Linked DNA regions of Callithrix jacchus. The protein of the gene in region 4 interacts with the protein of the main gene of each other region in a biochemical or structural test. Links are inferred from orthologs where the notes say so. Each region holds a gene or a part of one and is shown on either strand. Other genes may lie near its edges.

The links.
Region 1: the proteins of BCL10 (region 4) and IKBKB form a complex in vitro, tested with the Homo sapiens proteins (2 studies listed by BioGRID, with this or other methods). The link is inferred for Callithrix jacchus from reciprocal best matches to the Homo sapiens genes BCL10 and IKBKB.
Region 2: the proteins of BCL10 (region 4) and CARD11 form a complex in vitro, tested with the Homo sapiens proteins (2 studies listed by BioGRID, with this or other methods). The link is inferred for Callithrix jacchus from reciprocal best matches to the Homo sapiens genes BCL10 and CARD11.
Region 3: the proteins of BCL10 (region 4) and IKBKG form a complex in vitro, tested with the Homo sapiens proteins (3 studies listed by BioGRID). The link is inferred for Callithrix jacchus from reciprocal best matches to the Homo sapiens genes BCL10 and IKBKG.
Region 5: the proteins of BCL10 (region 4) and CARD9 form a complex in vitro, tested with the Homo sapiens proteins (2 studies listed by BioGRID). The link is inferred for Callithrix jacchus from reciprocal best matches to the Homo sapiens genes BCL10 and CARD9.

What each region holds. Positions count from the first base shown.
Region 1 is NC_133514.1:44,089,838-44,094,581, forward strand, and holds part of IKBKB (inhibitor of nuclear factor kappa-B kinase subunit beta), read right to left. Parts: intron 4,108-4,744; coding exon 3,998-4,107; intron 2,946-3,997; coding exon 2,896-2,945; intron 2,788-2,895; coding exon 2,688-2,787; intron 2,488-2,687; coding exon 2,340-2,487; intron 1-2,339.
Region 2 is NC_133503.1:19,484,755-19,488,360, forward strand, and holds the end of CARD11 (caspase recruitment domain-containing protein 11), read left to right. Parts: intron 1-2,054; coding exon 2,055-2,259; 3' UTR 2,260-2,754; downstream 2,755-3,606. UniProt on the Homo sapiens protein: Adapter protein that plays a key role in adaptive immune response by transducing the activation of NF-kappa-B downstream of T-cell receptor (TCR) and B-cell receptor (BCR) engagement.
Region 3 is NC_133524.1:150,333,423-150,338,713, reverse strand, and holds the start of IKBKG (NF-kappa-B essential modulator), read right to left. Parts: upstream 3,629-5,291; 5' UTR 3,530-3,628; intron 1-3,529. UniProt on the Homo sapiens protein: Regulatory subunit of the IKK core complex which phosphorylates inhibitors of NF-kappa-B thus leading to the dissociation of the inhibitor/NF-kappa-B complex and ultimately the degradation of the inhibitor.
Region 4 is NC_133508.1:122,509,264-122,514,733, forward strand, and holds the start of BCL10 (B-cell lymphoma/leukemia 10), read right to left. Parts: upstream 3,681-5,470; 5' UTR 3,615-3,680; coding exon 3,558-3,614; intron 1-3,557. UniProt on the Homo sapiens protein: Plays a key role in both adaptive and innate immune signaling by bridging CARD domain-containing proteins to immune activation.
Region 5 is NC_133502.1:184,837,205-184,841,593, reverse strand, and holds the end of CARD9 (caspase recruitment domain-containing protein 9), read left to right. Parts: intron 1-266; coding exon 267-315; intron 316-2,066; coding exon 2,067-2,143; intron 2,144-2,736; coding exon 2,737-2,813; intron 2,814-2,897; coding exon 2,898-2,997; 3' UTR 2,998-3,302; downstream 3,303-4,389. Other genes in the region: DNLZ (DNL-type zinc finger protein), read left to right, coding at 3,526-3,753. UniProt on the Homo sapiens protein: Adapter protein that plays a key role in innate immune response against fungi by forming signaling complexes downstream of C-type lectin receptors.

The DNA.
Region 1 (4,744 bases), on a different chromosome or scaffold from region 4:
CTTTGTCTCAAAAAAGGAAGAAAACGTTATACAAAAATTAGCTGGGTGTGTTGGTGGGCACCTGTAATCCCAGCTACTTGGGAAGCTAAGGCAGGAGAACCACTTGAACACAGGAGGCGGAGGTTGCAGGGAGCTGAGATCGTGCCACTGCACTCCAGTCTGCATGACAAAACAAAGCATGGCCCTCATAAGCTTGCCCTTGTCTTCTTCAGCAGCTTCATTCTCCATCGCAGCCTCCCCCCACACACCAGCCTGTCCCCACTTAGAACACACGGATTCCCCAGGCTCTCTGCCTTTGATAAAGCAACATCTCTGTCCTGGAACATCCTCACTCTTCAACTGGACAGCTCCTTATGAACTTTCTTATTGTTCCCTCTTTTCTAAGAAAAGCTGGAGCTCCCCCTGCACACAGAAACTGCAGCTCATGCCTCCTGGAGCTGCTTGCCAGCCCTTCCCACCCTGAGCAGCTCTCGCTTATGCCCATCTGTGCCCCTCAAAGGATCAGGCCCTCCTGGGAACAGGTGCCATGCCTTCTCCCTGGTGTGTCTTGCTGGACATACAGTCAGCATTTAATAAATGCCCAATGGATGTAAAGGACACATCAGGTATCACTTGTGAATACGTGCACCTCCCTCTCCTCTTCAGATCCTCTCTATGGCATTATCCTGCTTTCTCCTTTTCCTCTCTTCTTACAGGAAGGTATGTCGCTCATGGTCCCAAGGCTTCCCCAGCGCTCTGGCATGTGACCCCAGTCCCTCTGTTCTCTGCACTGTGTGTGTCATGCCCTCCGCCTTTGACAATGACAATCTCTTAGGGCGCCACCTCCTGCTTCCACCATGAACAACCATCTCCCTTTCCTTCCCTTTGCTCTTTTTTAAAAAAATTTTATTTCTTTATCCTCATTGTAGAAACTGGCCCTTAGCTTTTAAAGGCAAATGATGCCTAAGTCACGCTTCCATCCATGTCACCTTCTCTGCAGCCTTTCACAATAGGGCTCCCACTCCCAGCAGCTCTGGCTCCCATGACGTGGCCAGCCCTGGCACTTCTCCCATCTCAGTTCATGGCTGTTTTGTTTCACTTTTTCCCCCCATGTGACATTCCATGGACTCACAGCTATGTTAAGATGGTGTGTACAGAAAGCCTGGGTTACTGCACTGACGGCAGCACGGATGGAGGCAATGGGCAACTAAGTCGCACTGCTGAACATGACGGTGGGCTGAATGGGTGGCCCTAAGAATATGCCACATCCCAACTACTGGAACTCTTGTGAGAGTGACCATACTTGCAGAAAGCGTCTTTAGAGACGTAATTAAATTAGAGATCCCGGCCGGGCATGGTGGCTCATGCCTGTAATCCCAGCACTCTGGGAGGCTGAGGTGGGCGGATCACAAGGTCAGGAGTTTGAGATAAGCCTGGCCAACATGGTGAAACCCCATCTCTACTACAAATACAAAAATTAGCTGGGTGTGGTGGTGGGCGCCTGTAATCCCAGTTACTCAGGAGGCTGGGGCAGGAGAATCACTTGAACCCAGGAGGCAGAGGTTGCAGTGAGCTGAGACTGCACCACTACACTCCAGTCTGGGTGACAGAGCAAGACTCCATCTCAAAAAAAAAAAAAAAAAAAGAAATTAAGGATCCCGAGATGACATCACCCTGGACTATTTGGGTGGGACCCAAATCCAATGACAAGTGTTCTTATAAGAGATACCCAGATGAGGGACACAGGTCACATGAAGACAGAGACAGAGACTGGAGTGATGCAGTCACACACCAAAGAATGCCTGGAGCCACCGGGAGCTGGAGAGGCAAGGACAGTCCCACCCTGAGGGCCCTCAGAGACAGCTCAGCCCTGCTGACATGGTACTTTCAACTTCTGGGCTCTAGAGCTCAGATAACACATTTGTTTTTGTTTTTAGTAGAGACAGGGTTTGTTCTGTTGCCCAGGTTGGAATGTAGCAGCATGATCACAGCTCACAGCAGCCTTTAACTCCTGGGCTCAAGCGATCCTCTGACCTCAGCCTCCCCAAACTGCTGGGGTTACAGGCCTGAGCCACCATGCCTGGCCCAAATTTCTGTTGTTTTCGCCTTTCAGTCTGTGATCATCTTTACAGTAGCCATAGGAAAGCAATACACAGATAAATGAAAATGATTAGCACAGGCCTTTACTCTGACCTCCCTGCTCACGCCAAGTCAAAAAACAGTGACATGAAAACTGAGCAGCAGCTGAGTGGGCTAATGATGGCTCTGTGGTGTCCCGTGTGGGATAGCGGCAGTGCACAGAGGCAGAAAGGCACAGGCGGCTGGCAGGCCAAGGGCCTAGGGCCACAGCGCTCACTCACACAAGCGATCTTCAGGAGATTCCAGAGCTCCTTCTGCCGCTTCTCCTGCAGCCGGACAACAGTCTTCTCATCCTCATTCATCAAGCTCATCACCTCTTCCACCTTGGGCAGCAGTTCCAGTGCCTTCTGCTTGCAAACCACAGTTTTACTGCAAAGAATAAACACGACAAACTCTAATGGCATTTGGACTGGGGAAAGCAGAAGCCGTGGCAACTGTGCATCTGGTCAGCAGCTGCAGAAAGTCGCTTCACGAGGTCCACCAAATCAGAGCAGAGGGAGGAAGGGGACCTCGCACCCAGCCTACATCTCCCAGTCCTTCCTCCAGAGCAGGAAGGTTGGGGCTCATACCTGAGCTGTGTATAGATCACTCGCACTTTCTTCTCAAAGCTCTGAATTGCCTGAAGCAGCAGCCGCACCATTTCCTGACTGTCACCCTCAGTTCGCTGGTCTGGAGAGAGGGAGGGTAGCATAGTTCCTCAAGGAAGCCAGCAGAGAGTAGCGATGCCCCAAAAATGAGATAGTGAGAAGCCCAAGGCAGACACAGAACCCCACTTACCTCGTGGCTTTTCTCTTAGTCTCCTGTAGAGCTCCCTTGCTTGCTCCTCTCTAAAATATACAAAGAAGTTCTGTCTAGATTTGAGGTAAAATATGGCTAATTTTTATATTTTCTTGGTAGAGATAGAGTTTCACCATGTTGCCCAGGCTGGTCTCGAATTTCTAGGTTCAAGCAATCCTCTTGCCTTGGCCTCCCAAAGTGCTGGGATTACAGGTGTGAGCCACTGGGCCTGGCCAAAAAAAAATTTGTTTTAAATGTGCTGAGCATGGTGGGATGTGCCTATAGTCCCAGTTATTTGGGAGGCTGAGATGGGAGGGCTGCTGGAGCCCAGGAGGCTGAGGCTACAGTGAGCTAATATTGTGCCACTGCATTCCAGCCTGGGCAACAGAGCGAGACCCTGTCTCTTAAAAAAAAAATAATAACTAGAGGAGAATAAAGGGTTAAGTAAATAGAGAAAATACAGAATCAAAGTTCTGACATTCAGAGCTCCTGTCCTAAGAATCCTAATCAGGGAACACTGCTGAGCTCACAGTGACACAGCCCTTGACAGGCTGACCCAGGCTGCCTGGTTCCTTCCATCTGCACACCAGGACCACATACACATGATATTCAGGTAAGAATGATCTTCCCAGAACGGTCCTCCCCTCCTGGAGCCAATGCCAAATACCTGACAGAGACTCAAACGAACGGTTTCCAGGTCCAAACTCCTAAGCCTCATCGGGTTCTTCCTTCTCTCTCTTACTTTCTGCTCTGAGCTATGCCTGCATCAGGGTGTGGCAAATCAGGGTGTGGCAAATCAGGGGAGTCTGATACAGGCGTAGAGGCTGCTTGCATTTCACAGCCTTACAGATTACGGACTACCTCTCAAATGCATCATCTGAATTAATCGTTACACATTCGTGAGGTCAGACTGCTTTTCTTGCCACTGAACAGATTTGGAAACTGAGGCTTAGTGATGATTTGCTGGAGACAACCCCACAGGGTAGCATGCTCTAGAGGATAATGGTCCCACATAGCCACTGAGGGTTCCCTCAACACACACAGAAGCTCCAGGGGTGTCTGTGTGTGCTGGGCACAGTGAGACCCCCCAGCTGATACTCACAGGTCATCCAGTGTCCCCCCCTGCTTCCGGCCCATGGGGCTCCTCTGCAAGTCCACAATGTCGGTCTGCAGCGCCATCATCCGCTCCACCAGGAGTTTCACTTCATTCTCCTAATGGAAAAGCTGTGCTAATGTCAACTGATGTGGTAGGAGCATTCTGAGATGCAAGATCTGTCCGGGCAAGGCTAGGGTCCCTCCACACTCCCTGAGGACTCTCAATGGACTGGCTCAAAGGAATGTGGACTGTGGAGTCAGAATGGCTACGTTTGCCTCTCAGTCCACCACTTTCCAGTTGTGTGACCCCTGGGCAAGTTACTTACCCCCAGGTACAGTTTCCTTTTGCATAAAATAGGCTTCTAACAGGGCGGAGGAGTCATGTAAGATGAAGTACTTAAAGCTTCTGGTGTGCTGCCTGGCATACTGAAGATGCCCAAGGCACATTACTTTCTCTTTGCTTAATCTGTCTATCTCAATGCCACCAGCAGGGAGGCCCAGACTGCTTTATTTCATAGATTATGATTCCCAAGATGAGGAGAAGCACTCACTTTCTATGGTTAATATTCACCATTAAACACACATATCTATCAGTACTAAATTAAAAATAGATACGAAGACACAGGTGAAGATTCTTGCCCAAGTGCCCAAGGAAAGACAGGGGCTAAGACCAGGAAAAAGCCCCAGAGCCCAACTTCAGCCTTCAGTTTGTGCAAGTTTCTTAAGTCACACATATTTCCTTTGCCTTCATAAT
Region 2 (3,606 bases), on a different chromosome or scaffold from region 4:
ACCACTGCACTCCAGCCTAGGCAAGAGAGAGAGACTCCAGCTCAAAAAAAAAAAAAAAAGGATGGTGCTGAGGTTTGGAGCCTGGGTGATGAGGACAGACTTGCCCTCCAGCGGCTTCATCTCAGATCCTTGCCCCTCCTGACATGCATCTGCAAAATAAATGTCCTGCTGCCACTTTACAGAGGGAATCACTGAGACTGGGAGGGGTTAGGCCCCTTCATTTCTTTTCACCAGATACTTACTGAGCTCCTGTGAAGGGTTAGGCTCTGGGGAACCCAGCAGTGAGCAAAAGAGACAGACATCCCCACTCAATACCTCACATCCTTTAGGCTGGCTAAGACTGAAAATGCAGAAACTGACAAGTGTTGGTGAGGAGGTTAGATGTCAGAACCCAGCACGCTGCTGCTGAAAGTGCAAAGTAGAGCAGCCCCTGTGGAGGACGGCATGGCGCTTCCTCAAAAATTAGAAATAGAAGACCACAGGATCCATCAACCCACCTGCGGGCATATCCCCAAGGGAACTGAAAGCAGAGTCTCTAAGAGATATTTCCACGCCGGCATTCACACCAGCGTCACTCCCAATAGCCAAAACCTGGAAGTCACCTAAGGGTCCATCAGCGGGGAGTGAATACACACAATGGGGCCCGTCCACACAGGTTAGGAAGGTGTTAAGAGCTGAAAACCTTGCAAACTGTTAACCAAAAAGACTTGAAATAAAGAAATCATAATACATGTTAATATAAGAGAAATTATAGCCTGGTACATGCCTATAGTCCCCCTTCCCCATCCGTCCTGCCTGGAAATGTGTTTGTGGTGCAGAGTGTACTGCACCAAAAATGCTGTATGATTTTTTGGGTGGTTTTTTTTTTTTTTTTTGAGATGGAGTCTTGCTCTGTTGCCTAGGCTGGAGTACAGTGGTGCCATCTCAGCTCACTGCAGCCTCCGCTTCCCGGGTTCAAGTGATTCTCCTGTCTCAGCCTCCCAAGTAGCTGGGATAACAGGTGCCTGCCACCATGCCTGGCTAATTTGTGTATTTTTACTAGAGATGGGGTTTCACCATGTTGCCCGGGCTGGTCTCGAACTCCTGACTTCAAGTTATCCTCCCCCTCAGCCTCCCAGAGTGCTAGCATTATAGATGTGAGCCACCATGCCCAGCCCATACAGTGGAATATTATTCAGCCTTCAAAAGGAAGGAGATTCTGACACCCACGTCAACATGGGTGAACCTTGAGGACGTTATTCCGTCAAATAAGCCAATCACAAAAACACACGTGCTGTATCCGATTCCACTTATATAAGGTCTCTAGAGCAGTCAGATTCCTGGAGACAGGAAGTAGAAGGGTGGTTCCCAGAGACTGCGGGAGGGAAGATGGGGCGTGAGTATTTTATTGGTCCAGAGTTGCAGTTTGGGAAGATGAGGAAGTCTGGAGATGGTTGCACAGCAGTGTATACCTAATGCTACACAGAACATACCTAATGCTACTAAATTCTTCACTGAAAGAATAAGTAAAACGGTCGATTTTATTTTATGCATATCTTAGCACAATTAGAAATTAAAAGGATGTAGCCGGGCGCAGTGGCTCATGCCTGTAATCCCAAATTTGGGAGGCCGAGGCGGGTGAATCATTTGAGGTCAGTAGTTCGAGACCAGCCTGGCAACATGATGAAACCCCATCTCTACTAAAAATACAAAACTTAGCCAGGCATGGTGGTGCGTGCCTATAGTCCCAGGTACTCAGGAGGCTGAGGCAGGACAATTGCTTGGACCTGGGAGACGGAGGTTGCAGTGAGCTGAGATCACGCCACTGCACTCCAGCCTGGGCAACAGAGCAAGACTCCATCTCAAAATAAAAATAAAAATAAAAAGAATGGGTTTGGAATTTCCAGTGAACAGCATGAAGGGGCATGGTCCCTAGCATTAAGAGTCACAAATGATATAAGGGAGAAGCAAGGCAGGAAAGGAATGGGGGCTGCGGCAGTGAGGGCTGGCCAGGCAGGTGGTGCCACACCAGTGCCACGACAGCCACCCCACAGCCCCTGCACATCTCCTCCCAGAAAGCTGCTGCCCCGGCCTGAGACGGAGGAGGAGTTCCTGCGCATGTGCCGGCTGAAGGAGAAGGAGCTGGAGGCCCTGCCGTGCCTATACGCCACGGTGGAACCTGACATGTGGGGCAGCGTGGAGGAGCTGCTCCGCATGGTCAAAGACAAGATTGGCGAGGAGCAGCGCAAGACCATCTGGGTGGATGAGGACCAGCTGTGAGGCGGGCAGCCCTGGCAGAGATGCTGTGGGCATGGGTCATCCTGTGAGGCAGGCACCCCAGGCAGAGAGATGCAGCAGGTGCAGGGGCATCCTGCAGCCCACAGAGCTGCCCTGGCGGATGCTCTGCCCCTCGCAGTGATGGAGCCTGGGGGGACAGACGCGCCCGGGGAGGAGCAGGGCACAGTCCATTCCCCCAGCCCCAGCTGACCTGGCCCAGCGGTTTGTCCCTGCTGGCCTTCACAGGGAGACAGGGCTGAGCAAAGGACACCAAGCCAGAGCCCCGGGGCCAGCCGGCCTCTGGAGAACCAGAGCAGCAGTTGAATGTAATGTGTGGGATGAGTGTGCTGCCACCAGTAGAGCAGGGACCCTGATAGCCAGGCGTCCACCAGTCCTGGGGACACACTCACCCTAAACACACTCCCAGGCAGGACAGATCGGGGAAGTGGGTGTGTACCAGGCTATGATTTCTCTTGCATTAAAATATATTATTATTTCTTTGTTTCGACCCTTTTTCTTTGTTAACAGCTTGCAAGGGTTTCAGCTGTTGCCACCTTCCTAACCTGAAAACCACGCCCAGCAAGCTTAGCTGGGGACTCAGGCCCCATGTTCCTGTGTAGGGTGAAGGTAGGGTGACCACACACCCCAGGGTCCCAGGACAGGCCTCATTTATCCCTGGAATTAGGGTGACACTTGCTAATCGTACCCCATGGACTCAAATGCATCCTGATTTGGAAGATCAATAAATTGTCTTATCACCTTGGGAAGGGCCCATCCTCTCACAGACCCTGGGGACCCTTGTGGTCTGTACCTGGCCTGCCCTGTAACTCCAGCCCTGAGGCCAGGCCCCCATCACTCAGCTCTTCCCTGCACGTCACTACCCCTGCCACAGTACATTCAATGTCCCTAGAGGGCAGCCCGACTTCCTCCTGCAGGTCAAGAGCAAGCATGTGGGGTACGGCCCTCTGGGGGGTTCATATCTCACTGCCCAGGAGTTTGGGGGGCGCAGGAAAGCCATTCCCACTCCCCAGCAGGTAGCAAAGGCCCTAGGAGTTCTAGAACCATTCTTCTCCTTCGCCCTCTTGTTGCAAACTTGCCTGGTATGGACCCAATAGACACAGCCAAACCAGGCCAGGTTGCACCCTTGGCAGAGCACCACGGGGCATGTGCAGGAAGCTGCTGGGTGGCAGGCTCGGATTCAAACCCAGGCCTCTCTGTCTGTGGGAACTCTGGGAGCAACTGCTCGCTGACAACCTAGTACTCAGACTTCCTTCCTTCCTAAGAGCATCCTGACTTATCCTGAGAATCTACATGTACAACTCAAAGACCATATGTCCCAGCCTCCCTTGC
Region 3 (5,291 bases), on a different chromosome or scaffold from region 4:
TACCAAGGAGCTCTGCTTCACCCCACCTGGCCCCAATTGTCCAGCTTGTGGAACCGCCATTTTGTACTCATAGGAAAGACCAAAGAATAGTATAGCATGAGGATTTACATGGGAGGGGAGGGAGGAGAGGAAGGGGCGGTTCTTTTTTTTCCTTTTTTTTTTTTTTTAGACAAAGTTTCGCTGTTGTTACCCAGGCTGGAGTGCAATGGCACGGTCTCGGCTCACCGCAACCTCTGCCTTCCGGGTTCAAGCAATTCTCCTGCCTCAGCCTCCCAAGTAGCTGGGACTACAGGCACGCACCACCATGCCCAGCTAATTTTTGTATTTTTAGTAAAGACAGGGTTTCACCATGTTGACCAGGATGGTCTCGATCTCCTGACCTCGTGATACACCCGCCTTGGCCTCCCAAAGTGCCCGGCCTGGAAGGGGCGGTTCTAATAGAGCCATCACCCAGACTGGAGCACCCTCACCTATGTCACATGGGGCAGTGAGACTGCAGGGGCTGTTGAAACAAGAGCTTCATCTCAAATTATACGTTTCAGTTTTCACTTTTAATCGTGGATGCACTCAATCTGCTCACTACCGTATGACCATTTTTGCCATTCATTTACCTTGTAACCAGGCCGGGCACGGTGGCTCACGCCTGTAATCCCAGCACTGTGGGAGGATCACTTGAGGTCAAGAGTTCAAGACCAGCCTGGTCAACACAGTGAAACCCCATCTCTACTAAAAATACAAAAAATTAACCAGGCGTGGTGGCAAGCACCTGTAATCCCTGCTACTCAGGAGGCTGAGGCAGAGGTTTCGCCATGAGCCAAGATTTCACCATTCCACTCCAGTCTGGGTGACAAGCGCAGAACTCCAGTTCAAAAAAAAAAGTATCTTATAACCTTGAGCAAGAGCTCTCTCAAAACTAATGAGCTCTTCCTCATCACGCGTCCCTGAGTGCTGGATGAGCTTAGTGGTTCTTTGTTCACGTACAACAATGCAGTGTCACACTTTGCAAACCTGCTCCTTGACACCTTTGTACTTCTGATCAGAACTTAGAAAAGGAATGAGGAGGCAGCCGAGGGAGAAGTAAGGAAGGGCCACCCCAAGCACTGTCCTCTGACTCCCCATATGCCTGAGACCCAGGAGAGGTACCCAGGTGGAGCCCACAGTGGATTGGGCTTGCCTTCAGCCCCAGCCTAGTCCTCTCAGAAGAGCCATACCTGGCCAGGCCCTGTGACTCACAGCTGTAGTCCCAACACTTTGGGAGACCAAGGCGGGCAATCACCTGAGGTCAAGAGTTTGAGACTAGCTTAGTCAGCATGGCAAAACCCTGTCTCTACTAAAAATACAAAAATTAGCCAGGCATGGTGGCGCCTGCCTGTAATCCCAGCTACTCAGAAAGGTGAGGCAGGAGAATTGCTTGAACCTGGGAGGCAGAGGTTGCAGTGATCCAGCCTGCGCAACAGAATGAATGAGATTCCATGTCAAAAAAAATTAAAAGAGCCATACCTGCATCAGTCACAAACCTTACCACCTAGGACTCTGACCATTAAGCCCTTAGTGCAAGAAGCAGACTAGAGGAGAAGGTAACTGAGGATGCTTTCTCCTTTCCCTGTCTCCACCCCATGCTGTCACAAGGACACTACAACACAGCAGCCCAGGCCACAATGATGGCTTATGACTCCAGGCCTTCAGCTCTCATTAGACAACCTCACTGAGCATCCAAACTTGTTGTGTGACTTGGAGCAAGTGTTTTCCTTTCTCTGACTGTCAGCATTTCATGTAGCAAATGACAGCTTTTGAAACAAGTGCCCAGGGTCCTTAGGGTTTTCCAAGCTGATTGTGTCATTTCACTTTCTTCACTTGTGGCCAGCTTGGTATTGGGCAACTTTGTTTCATTGAAATCAGTAGGGTTCCCCTTTGCTCTCCTCTGCTCTGACGGTGCCAGCTCCAGCACTGTGGGTAGAGGACAAGGGGTCCTCTCTCTGAAGGGCCTTGTGGTTGGTTTCTTCCTCTTCCTGCTGCGGGTGGGGGTGGCGTGCTCAGGCAGCACCTGGAGCAGCTCCCACTCCCAGGCTCCTTCCGTGCCCGATGCCTCACTCGATGCACTTGGGGGCACCCAATCCTAGAATCTGTTGCTCCAGGAAAATAGCCCATTTTCCATTCATTTAGAAGAGAGTGATCGGGCACTTCTGGGCCACAGTAGCCAGTCCCTGCCCTCCTCATGGGACCTATGTGCTGTGGTGGCCAGGGAACCACAGCAAGTAAGCAGAAGATACATGTGGGCCCTGTGTTCCCAGCCCCCCAGAGCGCATAGATCCCACAAGGAGGGCCTGGAGAGCAAGCCTGCCGGGGCAGGCTGAGGAGCACCCACACAAAAGGAAGAGCAAATGCCTGAAGCCCTGAGTTGGGAACTAGCTTGGCGTGACCTAGAAACTGCAAGCAGGCAAGTGGCTGGCAGACCCACAGCCAGGGAAGCGGGACACCCTGGGGCAGGCTGTACCCACGTGGCCTTCATCTGTCCCTTCCTCCTCCTGGCCAGCTTACGCAACACTTGCGCACACACCCAGCTTCCTTCCTGGGGGCCCTGATGACGGCTCAGAGTTACCAAGTGGGCCACTTCCCACCTTCTCAGGACTCCCACCCCTACCAGGGAGTGAGGGGAAGAGACTGGGACTGAGAGTCTACGGGTTCCTCACCTGTCTGGGCCTCAGATTCCCCACCTGGATCACAAGGGCCATGGGCTTGCTGGGCGTTCAGCGGCCCCCACCCCTCCCTTTCCTCGGAACATTTCTGGGCTGACTTCTCCGTTGGTCCGATAAGATTCTTGCTGTGTCATGATGATGTTGGCACTCTCCCAAAGACCCGGTGACTCATGAGCCCCTGGGTTTAGGAGGGAGGCCCTTTCGTTGGTTTTTCAACTGAGCTAACTCAGCAGCCCCCAGGTTCTCGGGCTCCACCCAGGGAGTCTGGGCAGGTCCTTGACCCTAGCGACCCTTGGGGATGGGGTGGCCTACCCCTGCTGGCTCTCCAGCAGGCATCGCCCTCTACCATGAAACCCTCACGCCAAGACGAGCTGTAGCGATTTGGGTTTATAAAACAGGTCGTGGCCTAGGTCCCTTTGCCCTGGCCGAGCCAGACATTGGTGGCTGGAGATCTTAATCGTGTCCTGCTTCTACTAAGTCACCCTGTGTCCTCAAGAAGGTCCCTCCCCTGCTGTGGTCCTCAGGAAAGAGGAGGGCGTGGGGAAAATGAGAAGCTCCCAGCTGCTTCTCACTAAGGATCCCTTGAATTGCCCCCACCCACATGGCAGGAGTAGACTCTTGACTAAGCTGTCAGGTTTTCCCATGTCTTCCTGTACTTGTCCCTCCAGAAAGTCCCACTAGAGCGCTGCAGCCAGCTGGGAGGGCAGGGCTAGCCCTGAGCCCTGAGGAGAGCAGCTCAGTCTGGCTCTGCTCGGCTCAGCTCAGCTTAGCTCCTCGTCACCATGGGAAAGAGCTGCCTGGCCTTCCCCCACCCACGCCATCCTCTGTCTTACCTCGACTCACTTCTCTCAGGTGACTCGGATCCCAGCAGACAGTCGGTTGCAGGGGCTGAGCTGGAACAAGGCGAACAGGTTCAATCTCCAGTTAATCCCAAAGGGAGCAGCAGGAACAAACAGCCTGGAGCGTGGGGCCGCTGTGACTCAGCAGACCAGTCCCCTGCCAACAGTACCTTCCTGTAGTCTGTCCCAATGCCTCCTGATCTACCAGAATTTGGTCATGAGCAAACATGACCTGCTTTGAGTGAGGCTTAGAGGTATTTGCAGGCTGTGGTTATTACCGTTTCATTCAGGGACAAGTTAGTTCCCAGCGAGCTGGCCCTTTCTGTGTGCGGGGACAACCCTGAGTTGATGTGCCATGGCCAGTGTTCCCCTCCCCAGTCTGATGGCAGGGTGCTGTGAGGAGCAGAGTGGAGGAACTCCTACCCCAGGGTGAGGGGTCGTCTGAGGTGGACTTGGAAGGATGCAGAAGCAAGAGGTCCTTGTGGCTTCAGGGAGCAGCAAGTTGGATGCTAGGAGGGCTGCACTGGGCTTCATGTCGGGTAGTGATGGGTGAGAAGGTCTCATGGGTGGTCCAAGACCAGCTGGTGGCAGGGCTGGAACTTTATTTTCAAGACGGTCACTGCAGCATCTGGGGGGCAAAGAGACCATTTATAAAACTTTCATGTGGCAGTTACAGGAGAGCCCCACTCCAGAGTGCTCAAGAGATAAATGGCAGGTGGCTAGGAGCCCCCCGATACCAACACAGGCAACCCTGGTTTGGGAACAGCCCACTGTGGGGATGCTGAGGTCCCAGTGCAGCCTGGAGATGACCCACAGACACTTGTAACTGGGCCGGGAAGAAACTCAGGAGCAGTCTGCCTGCAGCTCCCACCTGAAGCCCTGCACCGAGCTCACCCAAGGAGGGGCAGAAGCAGAGCACACAAGGGATGCACACCATAGCAATTTCCCACCTGGAAGCCCCCGGTGGCTTCCTAACTGCCTGTTTCATGGGGGCATGTGTCCTGGTGGCATGGCCTCCATTCTATAATGGTTCATAGAAACGGACCCATCCATGATTGCAGTGTCTGATCGCTTTGAAGAGCATGTCTTTTGTTTTCATCTGTGTGTGTGAGATGGAGTCTCGCTCTGTCACCCAGGCTGGAGTGCAATGGCGTGGTCTTGGCTCACCACAACCTCTGCCTCCCAGGTTCAAGTGATTCTCCTGCCTCAGCCTCCCGAGTAGCTGGGACTACAGGCATGCACCACCATGCCCAGCTTATTTTTTGTATTTTTAGTAGAAACAGCGTTTTACCAGGTTGGCCAGGATTGTTTTGATCTCTTGACGTCGTGATCCACCTGCCCTGGTCTTCCAAAGTGCTGGGATTACAGGCGTGAGCTACAATGCCTAGACTGTCTATTACTTTTTATCATGTTTTACTGAAATATATGTCACGCCCAGGTGCAGTGGCTCACACCTATAATCCCAGCCCTTTGGGAGGCCAAGGCAGGCAGATCACCTGAAGTCAGGAGTTTGAGACCAGCCTGGCTAACCCATCTGGGGGAAACCCATCTCTACTAAAAATACAATAATTACTCAGGCTCTGTATCAGATGCCTGGAGTCCCAGCTACTCAGGAGGCTAAGGCAGGAGAATTGCTTGAACCCAGGAGGTGGGAGATTACAGTGAGCTAAGATTGCACCAGTGCACTCCAGCCTGGGTAACAGAGCGAGACTCCCTCTCAAAAGAAGTCTATGTCATGAAGAACACAAAATCAGCA
Region 4 (5,470 bases):
TGAGGAGGGACCAGCTGAATCTTGAGGGCCTGGGTCCTCGGAAACAGGGAGGTCTGTGGAGGGCCATCTTTGGAGGTAAAGATGAGGGCAAAGACTACTGTACATTTTACTTATCAGTTAGCAAGGAATCCAGAATTAGGACCAATAACTTAGTCCTAATAACTTAGGACCAATAACTTAGAAGTGAGAGGCTTCACAGTCTGTAACTTTCTCATGTTTGTCATTAATTACTCTATTTCCTTAGAGTAAAACTGTTAAAAACAAAAACAAATCCCTAAATGGAAAGGGCCCATAACGTATCTGTCTTTGGGGTCAGCTGGAAAGACTACACTCTAACTCAGTGAATCAGTCTTGGAGGAACGGAGATGGAAAGATGTGTGGGGAGAGAAACCTAAAGGAATAGTGACTGTTGGAAAAAATGGAAGAAATAAAGAAAAAGGACACCAAAAAAGCAAACCTAGACTTGAGAAGTACCTGACAGCTTGATTAGTAGAAAATCCACGTTGATCTCAATAAATGGCATTAATAATTTGATACCAATGATTATACTTTAATTCCTCTATTTACTAGACACAGGATCTTGGGCAAGTAATTAACTTTTCTGTACTTGTTTCTTCAGCTGACTGTTATATGAGGAATGAATAAATTAATATATGCAAAGTGCTTAAAAAAGTGCTTGGTACAGAGTAAGGGATCAATATATGCTAGTGATGATGACAAAGGTAATGGAAGGTCTTAGAAATATCCTAGAATATGATGGCGGGAAAGTAGGCTAGGTGATCGGTTCCTGTGTGAATAAACACTTTCTTTTTTTTTTTTTTACCCTATTTTCAAGCTAACACTTCACTTTTAAACATCCTCTTCCCCATTTCTCACGTCCAGTCCATCACCATGTCCTATCTTATCTATTTCAAAAATGCATCTGGAATTCTCCTGGCTCATCCATCTCCACTGCCTTCACCCTGATCCAAATCACCATCATCTTTCATCCACATAGATTCCAGGAGCCTGCTCAATGGTTTCCCTGCTCTTATTCTTGCTCTCCTCAGTCCATGAAACAGGCAGAGGGAATTTAAAAAATACAATTCTTCAACGAGTCCCTACTATACTTTGGGGAAAAGAAACCCAAACACTTTACTAAAAAGCTCTTCATGAAAATGGCTCTAGCCCACCTTCCTAACTGCATTTCAGATTATCCTCTCTGCCTTCCTCCGATTTCTCCAAGTCACCAAGGTCTTGATTGTTTTAGGTCCTTGGCAAATTCTATGCTGCCTAGAACGCTCTTCCCTCAGTTCTGTCAAATTCTTCAGGAATCAGTTTAAATGTGACCTCTCCTGACCATCCTATCTCAAGTCGATTTCCCCTATTACTGTCTTGGCACTGTTTGATTCCCTCATAATAACCGCCATAATGAAAACAAATAAATCTATTTTGTTTTCATTTATATAATGAAAACAAATAAATGTAAAAATACATTTATTTGTTTTCAACTCTAACATCTCTGTTTGAAGCAGGCAGCAAAGAGGTATGTTTTAAGCAACACTGTCTATCCTGTACTTAACCCAGAGCACCAAGTAGATAATGCTTCAGATGAATGCAAAACTCACTGCACTTATTTTTGGGATTTAAAATGATCCCCCTCAAGAAACTGAACTCTTTTCAAGTTAGGATTGTCTTAGTTTTTAATTTTTTAAATTGTAGAACCAACCACAGTATCAGCCTCACAGTAGCATGTAATCCATATTTATTAAATTGGACTAAATCCAACCAACACGATGAGGCAAATAACCAGACAGCAAGAGACACTAAAGAAGTGAGCGGTCCCAAGACGAAGAGTGGTAGCACACCATTCATCGAGACAGACAATACAGCAGCAACAGCAAGCAACTGAGGGGGAAGGATGATAAAACGTTCAATTTTTGTCAAGGTGAGCAATCTGTAGGATATAAAAGTAGATTTCCAGTAGACATTTGGAAATAAGGACCAAGAGTAGAGAGAGAGGTCCAAATATTTTGATGATAATTTTAAAACTTTCTAAGATCAGAAAACATTTTGAAAATATCATGAAAAAAATCTCTAAGAAGAAAGCATGCACATAGTTTTTTTCATAGACCTTTTGAAATCCATCCATCATTTCAAGGTTATGCAATTCTGATATAAGCATAAAATGAAATCCTGAAGATGGATAACATCAATGAACTGACAGAAAAACAAAGACCTGGAAGCCAGTCTTTACAACTGTATTTGTATACAGGTCTTATTTCCTTCCACTTGTAATTTCTCAGTTCCTGTTTTATTAGCTGTAAAATGTGAATGGCAATTATCTTCTTTAGAGGTTGTTGTGAAGGTTAAGTGGGAACATTGTAAACTGTGACACAGAATGTGGAACATAGGAGGCCTAGCTCCTGGAAGTTCAAGGTTTTACTGGTACTCACTATGAATAAGCCAACATTTATTCTACAGTAGTTTATTTATATGCCATTCTTATCTCAACTAGAATATAAAGCAGGAAACTGATCTTCATTTTTTGTATCCTTCCAGACCCAAGGTCAGTGCTTTCCATATAGTAAGTGCTCCATAAATCTCTGTTGAATGAGGAAACTAAGCACAAGTCCCAGTCATATCCAGTTTCCTTCTGCTGGTGAGTCACACCAATTGTGAGTACAGTGTAATAAACCTTACAGGGAAGAGGAAGGGATTTGAAGTGGATGAACATTTAAAAAGTTGCCATCCTGTCCAGTTCACCAAAATGACTGTGTAAAAGTACCGCAATGCTCAATAAGAACACGTTTCATGTTCAGTTTGTTTTTAATTTGAATTTATATAAAGTGTTTTAGTGAAACTCATATAGGTCTCATCTGGCAAAACAAGTAACTAAACACAAAAGAATGTCATATCTCAACAAAGCCATGCGATACAAATCAATATGAAGGTTTATGTAGTTCTGCACCATCCGAGAAGAGCATAATTTAGCTACTGAATATTTTCGACGTTTACCTGTAGGATAATTCTCAGCTACGTGTATTCACTCCCCCAACCCCAATTTAAATATGTGGGTGTCTGCTAACTAGGGGAATTCCGGGTTGTGCTTTCAGCTGTTGAGCTTCCTCCAGCCCCCTATGCAAAAGAGCTTCACATTTTTGGTCCACTGCTCGGGATCCTTCATCTGGTACAACCTTTGCTCTAGGCTGATATAGTAGCCTAGGCGGCCAGACTCAAGGATGAATCTGAGCCGCCAGTCCCTAAAGAAGCATCTCCAAGAACGCAGTGGGGGAAAAGCATGCGGGGATGGGAGAGGAGTGGGCAAGAAGCAAAGCTCCGCTGGGCAAGGTTCCCAAAGCCCAAGCTCTGCGTTTATCGACGTAAAACCTAGATTAACAGGTCACTGCTACCCAGGTCCCTCGGATGCAGGGCTCGCCGCATTCCTCCCGTGCTGGGACCTTCCGCTCCTCCGACCTGGAGGATCCTCCTTGTCCTCGGACTCCAGGTTTCCGCTTCCCTCGCCCGCTGGACTGCAGCCCGCCCCCTCCTGCCCTGGGCAGAATGTCGCTACTCACGTCCTTCTTCACTTCAGTGAGGTCCTCCTCGGTAAGGGACGGCGCGGTGGGCTCCATGGTGGAGGCTGGAGATGGCGCTTCTTCCGGGTCTAGGAGCTCGCGCTCCGCCGCCCCGCCCTGACTGAGAGCTTCGGCCTCCGGGTAATGGGAGAGAAGGCGAGGAGGCGGAGCGGATAGGGAGAAAGACTGCCGCCCCTTCGGGAACAGAGCTGGGGGTCAAACCGTAGCGCTTCCGGCCCCGCCCCTGGGGTCGACGGCGTCGCAAATCTAGACGTCGCGACGCGGAGCTAGGAGGAGCGCTCCTTCCCTCTCCCAGAGGCTTAAGGTGCAGGCACCGCCCCCGGGCGAGGCGGGTTCCTCGGCAGAGCCCACCCTGCCACTGCGGCAGCCTATCGGCGGCACCCCGCTGGCCGCTCCCGTTCCCGCCCCCCACCGGAGCCTTTCCGGTGGCTCCGCCCACAGCGGGGCCGCTTCTCAAGCCACGCCTGCGCAGGTCGTCGGCGAGTGGCCCGGGTTAGCTTCCCCATAAGGTAACGTTTCCGTGGGTGGGATCCGTCAGTGCCCAGGCAGCTGGCATTGTCAGCCTTTGCTGCTTGCTCACTTCGGGGGAGTCCGGTATAGGCTTGTCCGTACCTTCGGGTTCCTCCCCTTTTCCCAGATCCTGCCCTACAATTTCCTGATGCTATGTTTGTCAGTTACTGTTTTGGGCATATACAAACGCACTCACACACACGTACACATGCATACACACAAACAGCGTAACTAAAATACTGAAGAAATTTTTGAAGAAAAAAAATTTTCGAAAGAAAAGAAAAAAATGTTTTTTGATTGTCCACTATGTGCCAGACACTGTTCTAGGTGCTAGGAAAACCGCTGTGTATAAAACTGATAATCCCTTTCTTCATGGAATTTATATTCTAGCCTATGTGTGTTTGGGGCAGACGAGGTAGACACTTGAAAATTTTTATCTAAGTTTATTTATTTATTTGGAGATACAATCTCACTCTGTCACGCAGGCTGGAATGTAGTGTCATGATCTCCACTCACTACAACCTCTGCCTCCCGGGTTCAAGTGATTCTCCTGCCTCAGCCTCCCGAGTAGCTGGGATTATAGGCGCGTGCCACCACACCCAGCTATATCTAAGTTTTTTAAATTAATGAATTTATTTATTTATTCTTTTGAGATGGAGTCTCGTTCTGTCTCAGGCTGGATGGAGCACAATGGCGCGATCTCTGCTCACTGGGTTCGAGCAATTCTCCTGCTTCAGCTTCCCGAGTAGCTGGTACTACAGGTGCGTGCCACCATGCCTGGCTAATTTTTGTACTTTTAGTAGAAACGGGATTTCACCACTTTGGTGAGACTGGTCTGGAACTCCTGGCCTCAGGTGATCTGTCAGGCCTCCCACCTCCAGGCCTTGGCCTCCCAAAGTGCTGGTATTACAGGCACGAGCCCCCATGACCAGCTATATATAAGTTATTTAATATATTAGAAGATGATAAACGCTAAGAGGAAAAAATAAAACAGGGAAGTAGGATGAGGCTGTGTGGGTTGGCAACATTTAAACTAACGTGGTCGATGACTGCACTGCTCACTTTGGAGGAGTCTGCTCTCGGCTTGTCAATACTGAGATAAGGGATTTGATTTATGCTTAAAGGAAGTGAGGGAGTGATTCGTGTGGATATAAGGAGAGAGCATTATGAGTACAGCCGGCAACCAACAAAAAGGCTCAGTGTGCCTAGAAGGAGATGAACTTGTGTGCTGAGTCATATGGGTGTGCTGAGTCAGACGGGAAGCCACTGGAGGGTTGTGAGCTGAGTGACCTGATCCGATTTGTGATTTGAAAAGAAATACTTTCACTTTTGTGCTAAGGGAAGAGAAGGTGGAAGAGGGAAAACCAGTTAGGGAGCTATTG
Region 5 (4,389 bases), on a different chromosome or scaffold from region 4:
TTCCCGTCACATGGTCCTCCTTGGTGGCCAGGCTGGGTGGAGGAAGAGCAAGCAGCCACACACTAAGGCCTCCGACAGCTCAAAGGGTAAGGACAGTGCCCACCTCCTGGCACCCTCATGGCAGGACCTTCCTGGCTGGGTGCCTGAGTCGCTGAGAAGCTCTGTGCAGGGGGTGACAGCGATGGCCAAGAGCTGGGGTGGGCAGTGTGGCCAGGTCCAGTCCCTGGCAGAGGGGCCTAACAGGACATCTCGCTTCTCTTCCGAAGCTCTCGCTCCCCCAGGACCTGGAGGAGGACACCCAGCTCTCAGACAAAGGTGAGGAGGTGATGGCTGTGCACCCGGAGGCCTCCCAGCTGCCCCAAGCGAGGCCCATCTTCAGTGCAGGCAGCCGTGCGTGACACACGCCTGTCTCGGCCTCTACCACCCTCACTCCACAGATGGGGAAGCTGGGGCTGGGGGATAAGTAAAATGGACATGGCACCCAGAGAACAGACCAGAGTCCAGTTGGAACCCAGGGCCCTGGTTGGTGGGACAAGTGTTCCCTGTGGTGGGGAGTGTGGTGCCCCTTAGGGCAGCCCCCACGGTGCAGAGTCCTGCCTGCTCCAAGCTTCCTCTTGGGCAGAGAGAGGTGGCAATGAGCAAATGCCCAGGTGCACGAGGCTAGGGGTGAGAAAGAAAGTAGGGTGAGACGGGACTCCCTGGGGCTTGAGGGACAGGGCCCAATGAAGGGGTGGCCAAGGGCCTGCTGTGTCCCGGGGCCATGGGGCGGGGCAGTGTCGGGGGCTTCTAGCGGTGGGGCAGGACCCCTCTGCCTGTCTGGAGAAGGACTGGGGTTGCTAGCTGGGAGCAGCCTGAGTGCCCAGAGTGGGCCGTGGTTATGGGGTAGGTGTTTGCTCTGAATGTGGTATCAGGCAGGGGTCGGGGAGGGCCCGGGGGAGGGGCCCTGGGAGGCTGCATGGGAGTCGGACAAGCTTCTTGAGCACCAGGCTGTGGCCTTCGAGCTGAGGCGGAAAGGGAAGATGGAGTTGCAGATGGAGAAGTGAAGACCAGCACCTTTGGCCGCAGCCCAGAACAGTTGAACGTGGGGATGCTGAGCCCCCACGTGGGCAGAGGCGAGCAGGACCCAGGAGTCCAGCTCAGGCACTACTTCCATCCCCTGGGGTGGCTGTGGCAGAAGCCCCAGGGGGCAGGTGTGAAGGTCAGAGGGTGAGCAGGGGAGGATACTGGCTCTAAGGAGGGGCTGCCAGCCACCAGGATGGCCCAGGTCTGGCCCTCCCTGGGGCATAGCTGAGACTGGACGTACGTGGTTTCTGCCCAAGGATCCTGATCCCTGGTCTGCCCAGGTTCTGGCAGGTTTTGAGGGGTCCAGCCACCTGAAGGTTTTCTCCCAATTGCCGCAGTACCCCAGCCCCCCCTCGGGAGGGCCAGGACAGCCAACGTGGCATCCCCAACCCTCTCCCCAGGGCTGACATGCCCACAAATGCTTTGGAGTGATGGGGGGCAGTGCAGCTCAGGCCCCACCCAGGCTTAAGCTCCCCTGAGGTCTGCGAGGCCTTCCTGCCTGGGGGGCAGCCAGCTCTCCGACAAAGGTAGGAGGTGGCAGCTGTGCACCCAGAGGCCTCTAGGCTGCCCTGAGCAAGGCCCATCTTCAGCACAGGCAGCCCATGACATGTGCCTGTCTCTGTTTCCACCACCCACACTCCACAGATCTGGAAGCTGGGGCTGGGGGATAAGTAAAATGGCCAAGGTCACCCAGAGAACAGACCACAGAGACCAGGTGGAACCTGGGGCCCCAGTTGGCAGGACAAGTGTCCCCTGGGGTGGGGAGGGAGAGGCAGTCACTGGTGGGAGTGCTGGGCCTGGGTTGCTGTCCAGCGGCCTCCTGGGGCAATGAACAGGCAACCTACAGAATGCAGTCTCCACTGGACCCACGTGGGGGTCCCACCAGGCCTTGGAAGACAGCCCCACAGGGTGTCAGCAATGCCGAGGAGGGGTGTGGCAGCCTGGCTGTGCGTGGCCCTGCAGGTGGGGTGGGCAGACCCCGCAGGAATGACTCTCCTTTCCAGGCGGCCTGGCCGGCGGTGGGAGCCGGGAGCAGCCCTTTGCAACTCTGCACCAGGAGCAGCTTTCACTGATTCCCCATGTAAGGCTGTCTCAGGATGGGCTCCCCCAGCTGGGGGCCTCAGGGTGACTGATCACAGGGAGGGTGGCTCCTCACCCTGGGCACCCCCTGCAGTGGTCCCAAAGGCTGAGGGGTGACCGACCACAAGGTCTCTGTCCTCAGTGCTTGGGGTGCAGTGTCTGGGATGTGAAGGGGACCACCCTCCTTTCTCGGGCACTGCAGCAGCTAGTGGAGGCTTGGAGGTGGATGCACCGGGTCCTGGTTTCTTGGGGGCCTTTACAGCAGATGCAGCATCAATCCTGAGTAAACTGGCACAGGAGCCCTGACAGCAAGGGCTGCCTCAGGCTTTGTTGTAGAAACGAAGGCCTGGAGCCCAGGCTGGAGCTGTGGCTTGGCCTCCTGGGTGTGTCCTGGCATCTGAAAGGCAGAATGCCCACACTGGCTCCCCTCCTGGGGTACAGGCAGGTCCCCCGGGGCAGACTTGGCCCTGAGCTGGGCTGAGGCTGTCTGGGCTCCCTGCTTCCCCACCAGTCTTCAGTTTCAGGGGCCAGTGGGGGGTGCGTGACAAGGGTGGGGTCCTTCGGGGTGCCGGCAAGAGCCTTCCCCTTCTCCAGGACGCAGGCCTGAGCAGCGGGGAGCCCCCAGAGAAGGAGCGGCGGCGCCTCAAGGAGAGTTTTGAGAACTACCGCAGGTAGGCAGGTGGCCCCCAACCTCCTCCAAAGTGGACTGGGGAGGGGTAGCCGGGTTTGCGCCTGAGACCCCTGTGTCTTCGCAGGAAGCGTGCCCTCAGGAAGATGCAGAACGGCTGGCGGCAGGGGGAGGCGGACCGGGAGAACACCACGGGCAGCGACAACACCGACACCGAGGGCTCCTAGCCACAGCAGCACGGGCCCGGCCCAGGGCACGCCTACCGGCCCTGCCACCCACGGGTGCCGACGCCCTGGGCTTGGAACCAGGAGTCTGGTGCCCTGAAAGCCCCAGCCCGGCCCCCGAACGTTGGGGTGTTCTGTTAAGCGACCTTCAGCTTGCGGAGCCCACGCGGGTGCTCGCCACCCCGTGCAGACGCATTTGCGTAATGTCAGGGTCTGTTCTATTTCACTATGTAACACACGATACATGCATGCATTGTATAAGTGTTAGAAAACGCGGCTACGTAAATAAATAACACGGGTGACCCGAATTCCCGCTCCCACGCTCGGGAGCAGCCCTACGACCGTCCCTCCTCGCTGCGGACCCGCGATGTCCTGGGGTGCGGGCAGCACGTGGGCGCAGAGCCCCCACCAAGCTGCCAGGGGGCGGCAGATCGCAGCGCGCCCCAGCCCGGAGGCCCAGATAGGCCGCTTCCGCCCGGTGCCCGCTTCCAAGATGGCGGGGGGGCGGGGCGGGCTGAGTCCGCGGGCGGGATGCTGCGGGCGGCGCTGGGCAGCACGCCGAGGCTGCTGTACCGCGTGCAGCCCCGGGAGTCCTGCCTGAGGCTGCTGTGGGGCCGCGGGGCCCGCACGGAGGTCGCAAGAAGGCGGCGGGCCTTGACCTGGGGCTGGCGGCGCTCAAGCTCCGAGCCTGGGCCGGGGCCCGAGGCGGTGCTGGGACGCGTGGAGGTGGCGCACTACCAGCTCGTCTACACTTGCAAGGTGGGCACACGGCGGGACGGAGCCGGGGCCAGACTCACACCTGGCCCTAGACGGCCTGCGGGGAGAAGCAGCCCGGTGCGGGGAGGTCTTCCGGGGGGGTGGGGTCAAGTCACAAGAAGGGGTGGAGCCATCCCTTGGGGTCTGGTGGGTGTGAGGCCTTCTGGGAGGGAGCGGGGTCGGACCACGAGAAGGGTTGAAGCTATCCCTGGTGCGGGGCCTTCCCAGGAGATGGTGAGGCTGGGGTGGGTGGAGCTATCACTAGGGAGAGGGGCCTTCCCTGGAGAGCGTGAGGTGGGTGGAGCTATCCCTCGAGGGGCAGGTCTTCCGGAGAGAGGGTGTGGGATGGGTGGAGCTATCTCTCAGGGGCGGGGCCTTCCCCGGAATGGGTGAGGCGGGTGGAGCTACCCCTCGAGGGGCAGGTCTTCCCGAGAGAGCGTGTGGAGTGGGTGGAGCTATTCCTCAGAGGCGGGGCCTCAGAGATTTTGAGGTGGGTGGAGCTATCCCTCGATGGGCGGGTCTTCCCGAGAGAGTGTGGGGTGGGTGGAGCTATCTCAGGGGAGGGGCCTCCCCCGGAGAAGGTGAGGTGGGTGGAGTTACCCCTCGAGGGGTGGGTCTTCCTGGGAGGGGCGTGGCGGT